Oryzias latipes: one gene and its partner. The protein of the gene in region 2 purifies or fractionates together with the protein of the main gene of each other region. This does not show direct contact. Links are inferred from orthologs where the notes say so. Each region holds a gene or a part of one and is shown on either strand. Other genes may lie near its edges. The genes, in order: wasf2 and cytoplasmic FMR1-interacting protein 2.

Region 1 (4,246 bases), on a different chromosome or scaffold from region 2:
AGGGAAACCATAGTTTCTTAACTGTGTTTGTGGCTTTGCATGCTGGGAATAAACTTTTGATCTCATAGGATTCCAGTCCTTTCTTTATGTAGTAAAGTAAAAACATCATAAAAATGTTGTCAAATTGTTTGTTTCCCCACAAAAGGCTGGTAACAACCTCAAATTCCCTTATTTGTTTTAAATCAAGAGTCATCTTTTTTTTAAAAAAAACAAAGCCGCTTTACTTGAGTACAATTTTGGCAGCGCTATACTAGACCTTTCTCAACCAATTTGGTCTCCTCATAATAATTACTGAAAAAAATAGACTAATATCAACTGATGTTTTCTTTTAAAAACAAAATGTAACTTAAAGACAACATATTGTTAACCAGTTGCATAATTCGACATTGCTTATCACTAATTTCATCAAGGAATAAGCTTTGATGCAATTATTGATTATTTTTTTGCCTTTTTTTGCTGAATACATGATTGTATCCTCACAGTTTAAGCTTGCACACCTCCAAAAACAATCAGCTGTTATGATATGAATAGTTAACATAACCCAGACATTTTTCTATTGAATATATTTAAAAAATGGGAACAAAAACATATGTTATAGATGTGCAAAGCAGAAGTGCTTTTACAAATGTAAGGCTCAGTAACAAGACAGAAAATTCAAAAACAATCAAAGAAGGAAAGAGGAAACAAAGAGAGTAAATCTGTTTGTAGCAAATATTTCTGTATATAAGTCTTCAAAATAAGAGTATTTATCAAATTTATCTAAATGCACCATTGTCCACAAGATATCTCACAAAAGATTTGAGAATGTGTTTCCCATTTGTTATTTCTACATTTGTTTATATTATATTTTCATTTTAATCATATTTTAATTTTGTTTTTATGTTCTAACTTCCCCAAACATAATTAATAGACGCCAATCATTTAATAGACATTTTTTATATCCAGTGTCTTTCCATACAGTATGTGTACGTTTGTTATAGATACAAAAATTAATGTATACATAAATTTTTACAGTATTGAACCTGCCTGTGCAAATAAAATCCTTAAACCCATAAAGTCAAAACTTTTTATCAAATATTTTGAACTATATAACCAAAGAGAATCTTCCATGTGTTTCTCTCCACAGATGCCAGTCATTCCTCGGACGCGTTCCAACTTGCTGAAGCAGAAGCTGGAAAAAAATCCCTCCTCCGCCCTAATTTACGAAAATTGCGGACAGATGTTTGTCACTAGTTAGGGTGGAGTTGCGTGTTTTACGTTGAAACGTCCACATCCTGTTCTTGGTGAAATCAGACGACAGTCGCACGAGCCAATCAACTTTGAGGAAGTCTGCCAGCAGCCAATCGGAAGTTTAGAATTCCGGGACTTACTCTCCTGGTATCGTTCGACAGTTTACTGTACCGCTCAACTCTTCTGAAGAAAATCAGGAGACAGCACAATTTTTAGAGTGGATATAAAACGTGAAAGTGCCATTTCTGCGGGTAAGTGAAATATTTTCTTAAGAATAGTTTTCTTTGTAAAGTGACGGGGGTAGATATTTGTTAGTTTGACTGTTTCCTCGAGATAAGAGTCGCCTACAAGTTACTTCCTGCTCTGACGAGGAGGCCGAGTTGCACTTAGCATGTTTTAGCTAATGTTGTGGGAATAAAAATACCTTATTTCTTATGGTTTATCCGAGAAAGCTCAAAACTCGACATTATGGTTATACTTACATTATTCTACTGGGGGAGGGGGGTTGTAAGGTACAACATCATGGGTTTCAGATAGCTAACTAAACATCTTGGCTTAGGTAGGAACGAACAATTCGGAGCATTTTCCGTAGAAACCTTGGAAATAATAAATACGCAGTTAGCCATGTAGCATTTAGACCGTGATACATGACTTTTCTTTTCTTTTTTTTTAAATGAAAGCGCCCACGTTGTTGTCAGTGTGAATGGAGCTCGACAGGGTGTAGTAGTTCTCTGAAGGTCTGCTGTCACTCACTGCAGATATCTCTGTTGACATTATCTTTACTTTTTCCGCGCGCTAAACTAAACTAAATAAGTCATAGGCATGATGTGCGCGCGCGCGGACGTTAACAACATTCACCATATAATGAAGAATTTGATTTCTGCTGCCTCAGTAGACAGTATAAAAAAGGCTTCGTAGTTCTTCATGTGGAACCTATTGAGTTCCCATAAGGCAGTAGTTAGAAATCTGTCTGGCAGGGTTTTGCTTCTGCTTTTTTTTTGTCTCTTTATTTTTATACATGTTGGCCTAAGCATGTGACCTTTGCAGAGTTTAGTTCAGAGTTTGGTTATTCATCTGTCTATAAAGGTCCTTAAGGGCCAGTTATCACTGCAAAACACAGAGATGGTTTAAATTCACATGCTTTGATGGAATTCTTTGTTCAAAATTGTATTCAAAAATATATATTTTTATAATAATAATAATAATAATAATAATACTAATGGATTGGATTTATCTGCACTAAAAGCTCTTACAATGTGTCCATTATTCATTCACTCGTCATTCATACGCTTTTCTACACCAGTGGAGCCCCACTGGAGGCAGGGAAGGGGAAGTGTCTTGCCCAAGGACACAATTATAGTTGACTGGAGGGAGCGGGGATCGAACCGCCGACCTGCTCCACCACCAGAGCCACTGCCTCCCATTTGGCCTCCCTTTGGTTTTAAAAACAGTGTGTACTTGCATAGTGACTTCAACTTAAAAAAGGGAAACTTTCACCTACCAACGTGATGAATTCCTACAATGAAAAATAGAGGGGATCCGATTGTTGTTGTTTTGTTTTAGGTTTTTTTTTTTTATAAACCTACCCTTCTACTGGTCTGCGTACTCATTTCTCCCAGGTTGGTAAAAAAAATAATAATAATTTCGTTGCATCTCTTCTTACGCCTAATCAAAGCCAGAATTTTTGGCTTTGAGTCCATTAATGAAGAAAAAAACAGGATTGTTTCAAATGTTTTGAATTAAAATCTTCTCTTCTTTAGGCCTAAAAGTAGGATCAGATTTGGCCTTTAAAAACCCACTTTGATCAATTGTAAAAAATGTCGATTTTATTGTCTGTCACAAAGACGATCTTTTTCAAACAGCATTTTTTTGTTGTTGTCTGCTCCTGATTCATAATCATTTGGATAAAGGAAAACTGAGAAACACAACTTTATGCTTAATTTACTTAATATACGTTCTCAATCATCAGAAAAATGAACACATTAAAAACAGCAAAAACACAATTTTCATTAAGTGGGTCTTAAAAAGGAGAGTATTTCAGTCTGAAAATAACTGTGCGTTTACATCAGTATTTCAGGTCATAGATCTTGTATCCAATTTTTTAACACTATTACTAACATTGTCAATAAAACAAAGAAATTCCTCTCGATTAAAAGGGTTGCACCAACTTAGAATATATTTTTTCTCAAACCCCAAAATGCCCACATAGGATTTTCCAGTGAACATTGTCTTTGCATTGTGCTGCAGCTGTTCATAAATGTTAGACATGAATCTTTATTGGCTTTTCCTGATTGATGAGTTAAGAGTCTTTATTGTTAGAGAGGTACTTTAGTTCAGCACTGGCTGTTATAGAATGTGAATTTTTCATAGCTAACCATTTAACAGGATGCACAAACAGACGTGCAAACCAACCTGGTTGGAGGGTCCTCTCTAAACACTTTGGTTTTTTTCTTCCCTTTTTGAATGTAGTTCATTACTGAATCGTGTTTTGTACACATACAGGGTTTGGCCGTCCTACCTGCCGACCCCCACCATGCCTTTGGTGACTAGAAACATAGAGCCACGGCATGTGTGTCGCCAGACCATCCCATCCACCATCCGCAGTGAGCTGGAATGCGTCACCAATATCAGCCTGGCTAACATCATCCGACAGCTCGGCAGCCTCAGTGAGTATGAATGTGGAGCTGAGCAAAAATTGAGTAACATCTTGAGGCCCATTCTATACATTTGCTACAGTAAATGAATGGTTAAAGCCTTTTTAAAAGGATGATTTTTGTCTTAAGCTACATTCTTTGTTTTTTAAGGTAAATTTGCAGAGGATGTCTTTGGGGAGCTGTTTGTTGAGGCCGGATCTTTCGCTCTTAGAGTGGACACACTTGTCAAAAGAGTGGAATGTCTGCAGGTTAAAGTCACCCAACTAGACCCTAAAGAGGAGGAAGGTATGTACTTTTTTTTCACGTCACATCAGTCATCGACACTTCAGTTTCTTTTTTTCAATAAAATAATTGTCTTTTTC
Region 2 (3,820 bases):
TAAAACCTTCATGCTTAAATAGGATCATTAAAACAAACAGCATGCACTTATAGTTTGATATTCCAACTAAAATTTTCGATTTCAATCAAAAAATATATTCCATCTCCTGAATAAATGACTTGAATTACATTTAGCTTACCACTAAAGTTCAGTAAATGTGTGAAGAAGAAGGACTGCTTATGGAAATCTTCGATGGCCTGCACTATGGGTCCATCCAAACTGCTGCGGAGAGTCTTCTTCGATCCACTTTTGTCTGCTATCAGGGACTCCAGCATGGTGCGGACCATGTACAACTGCACAGGAAGACAACCAAACATCAAAATGCTTTTTATTTTTCACAAATTAAGAAACAAAAAATGCTTAAAGTCCCACTTGTGTTTTATTTTGATCTAGTATCCCAGTGGTCTTTTAATTATTATGTTGTTTTTCGCCAATTTTTTTAAAAACCTGTGGACATTGTTCCTATGGAGTGGCAGTAGTTCATTAGAAATTAATCTTCCCCCTCCCTGTTGGTGAGAGCAGGGATCTTGTGGCCCGCTCCGTGCATTTTTTTTATATCACAAATAAGCTCTTTTTACAAACCAAATTTTATCGTCTGCTTCCGTTTCAAAACTACTTGAACTAAAAAAAAAAAAATCCGAAATGCAATTTTAAACGTAACTTTCTTTAGAGTATGTCTTTATAGTTCAATTCAATTAATTCATTCATTCAATACAAAAGGGAACAAACTACAACATCAAAGATATTTGCCACTTAGATAAATAAACTGGACAATCAATTTTTGATTTCATGCAAAGCATGAAAAAATTTATAAAAAATAGAGGTATTGCCTCTTTCTGAAGAAAAATAAGACATTTTCTCATATTGTTGCCATCACAGAAAGAACACTAACCCCCTTTGAAGCTGGCAATACTGATTGTCTTCACTTTTAAAACCTGCCTTCATCTCTGGTGAGACAGATTCCCCTTTGATTATTATCTTTTCCTTTGAAAAAATAAAATAAAAATTGTGTGCCTGGCAATCCTTTCCCCAAATAACCCAAATAACATGCACCTTGCACCTTCTATGCCAAGCAGCCTGGTATGTTTTATGCTTTACCTGGGTGCTGGAGGGTCCCACAGCTCTACGGGGCACCTTGATGTCAAAACCGCCCTTTGGATCCTTTTCGCCTCTCAGACAGGGGTCATTCGGAGGCTCTCTTGCTCCTTCCCAGTCACAGACAGTCTTTCGAATTGCCTGGAGAACACTTTAAAAAAAAAAAAAAAAATCCCACAGTTGGTACTTCATCTCTTGCAGGCTGAATCCAAAAGGGATTATCTGATTCACTTTGCAGTACCTAATGAGGACATTCTTCTTCTTGCGCACCGCTTGGCGTAGCGGCTCTCTGAGGGTCATTTGAGCAAAGTCTTGCAGGGCTGCATAGATTGTATTCCTGATAGCCTGATTGAACACCGACTCCATACGACCCATGAGCACCTACACAGCAAATCCCACAGAACCACCATTATGCATGTCTTCAGGACTGAGACCTCTTTATTTAGCACCTGAGCTATAAATTAAGTTGAAATAAAACTATTTAGCAGACACCATATCTGTCCAGACACCGTTTCTAAATGTCCTCCTGCATTGAACATCAATTAGCGAACACTTTATGTGTCGGCAGTGTTTACCTGCAGCCCTTTAATCATAGCAATGACCTCCACCAGGGCAAACTTCTCCTCACTGGTGTAGTTGTACCTTGTGGCGCGTTCATACTCTTCTGCTGTGCCTGGACAGTCCTTATTACAGAATTTATCTGTGGGATGTACCAACTTCCATGAGTACTGAAAGAGACAAAAGGAGTGTTGGAAATAGGTCAAATGGAAAAAAAAAAGTTAAAGTTCTATCGACTGCAACACAGGTCAGCTACGTGACGTGTTCTCTGCATTTGACCCATCCCCCAGGGGAGCGGTGCAGACACAGCCATGTTCAGTGACCTTTTGGGGGTTTAACCCCCAAATCCAACCTCTTTATTGCTAAGTGTCAAGCAGGGAGACATTGGGTCCCTTTCGTGCGACTCAACTGTGGATTTGAACTCACGGCCTTCCAGTCTCAGGGCAGACACTCTCCCACGGGGCTAGTTTTTGAAGACCCACACCGAATTGCCATTTTTATTCAAATTCAAAAAGCCTGTGTTGTTTTCTAGTATTTGATAGAAATTCAACTCCAAGTTGTGGGCAGGACTGTTGGTGCAGGGCAACCCCGCTCCCCTTTCCCATCATCCACCTGTTTATATGTAGTGGGTCTTTAAGCAAAAATTGCTTAAAAAAACTCTAGAAACCTCTTTATCGTATTGAAGAGTTGGCTAAACTTCATCCAATTCTTAACTTACCACTTCCATGACGTGGGTGCTCCACTTTGACAACAGCTGCAGACCCCTCAGAGCCAGGTCAAACAGCTCCCTGTACTCCTCATCAGACTTCTGGCTGTCCAGCCCGGAACCCGTCACCACTTCGCTGTTGCTGTAGCGCGCAAGCTCCGAGATGAAGCGAATGTGGTCGTCCCTGATCTGCACCATCTGCTCACACAGGTTGTACTGCGGTGAGATGCTGCTCTGAGTGCACGTCCACCTGCGCACAAAAGACGGCGGCGTTTCACTGGAGACGCCTCGTGCAGGAAACATAGAGGAACTGTACAGGTCGATCCGAAAAGCAGCATTTCGTTGGCAGGGTTTCCTTACTTGGACTTGTTTTCCTCGTAGTGAGCACTTGTCTCGATGTAGCGTGACAACTCGATCTGCATGTCTCCAAAAAGTGGTACGACTTGAAGCTGAAAATTACAGTGCATGAACGCCTCACCCATTTGTTTTTTTTATGTTAGTCGCTAAAATGTAGTTAAAGCAGCTGGAGCCTTACTTTGAAGAATTTGTCAATCTTGCTCAAGTTGATCCTCTTCTTGGCGTCTAATTTGTAGATATTACTTACATTTCCATCCATCAAGTACAGACCAAAGCCCATAACCTGGAAGGCACAAGGAGAGCACTTGCTTAAAATAAACATCAACATGGATATCAGAGCTTTACTACCCTTTAAGTTGAGCTGCACAGACCTTTAGCAGCATGTGTTTCTCACTCGGCGTCAAATACATTTTGTTCTCATAATAGTCAACGCAGATGTTGACAATATCAGCCAAAAGTTCTTCATATCCTGGAATCACCTCCAGCTGCTGGTGCAGGCACTAAAAAAATGAACACACTACAGATTAGACACGGAAAATGAAGCCGTTTTTGTCATCTTGTAGATTTTATAAATTTGACAATAAGAAAAGAATTTTGTTTTAGTCACAATATATATTACTGTACGCATTTTGTCCCTTTATTTTGTTTAAATTAAAGAAGTTAATTGAGAATTATACAAAATTGAATGACTTTATAATTTTATAGGTTATGCTATTTTAGACTACTTCTAATATTCTCATTTGGTTTATATTCATTCATCAGCAGAGAAAGCTAAGTCAAACCCTAATCTAACCAGCTCTGTGCATAAACAGTGAACCCAATTCTCCAACGTCTTTCCACTTTTGTTCACTGTAAAGAAAAAAAAAAAAACATCTTTTGATTTGAATATGCAGTTTTATTAAAAAAAAATAGAAAAAAACAGCTCGGATTAACACTAACCTTTTAAATCTAATTTTCAACCTCATACATGTGAAAAGGACACAAACAAACCTGAGTGATCCTGTTATGGTTTGCTAAAAACATGGAAAGATTTTGGGACTCCTGGATGGACTGAGGGTCGGCCATCTTCCTCAAGAACTGAGCAGCTCTAAAAGGCAGAAGACA

The links.
Region 1: the proteins of cytoplasmic FMR1-interacting protein 2 (region 2) and wasf2 purify together in Homo sapiens (co-immunoprecipitation; 3 studies listed by BioGRID and IntAct, with this or other methods). This does not show direct contact. The link is inferred for Oryzias latipes from reciprocal best matches to the Homo sapiens genes CYFIP2 and WASF2.

Annotation. Positions count from the first base shown.
Region 1 is NC_019869.2:21,800,208-21,804,453, reverse strand, and holds the start of wasf2 (wiskott-Aldrich syndrome protein family member 2), read left to right. Parts: upstream 1-1,350; 5' UTR 1,351-1,481; intron 1,482-3,732; 5' UTR 3,733-3,763; coding exon 3,764-3,896; intron 3,897-4,034; coding exon 4,035-4,169; intron 4,170-4,246. UniProt on the Homo sapiens protein: Downstream effector molecule involved in the transmission of signals from tyrosine kinase receptors and small GTPases to the actin cytoskeleton. Promotes formation of actin filaments. Part of the WAVE complex that regulates lamellipodia formation.
Region 2 is NC_019868.2:21,204,707-21,208,526, reverse strand, and holds part of cytoplasmic FMR1-interacting protein 2, read right to left. Parts: intron 3,804-3,820; coding exon 3,707-3,803; intron 3,217-3,706; coding exon 3,088-3,216; intron 3,000-3,087; coding exon 2,895-2,999; intron 2,809-2,894; coding exon 2,720-2,808; intron 2,610-2,719; coding exon 2,372-2,609; intron 1,824-2,371; coding exon 1,671-1,823; intron 1,477-1,670; coding exon 1,337-1,476; intron 1,247-1,336; coding exon 1,099-1,246; intron 294-1,098; coding exon 140-293; intron 1-139. UniProt on the Homo sapiens protein: Involved in T-cell adhesion and p53/TP53-dependent induction of apoptosis. Does not bind RNA. As component of the WAVE1 complex, required for BDNF-NTRK2 endocytic trafficking and signaling from early endosomes.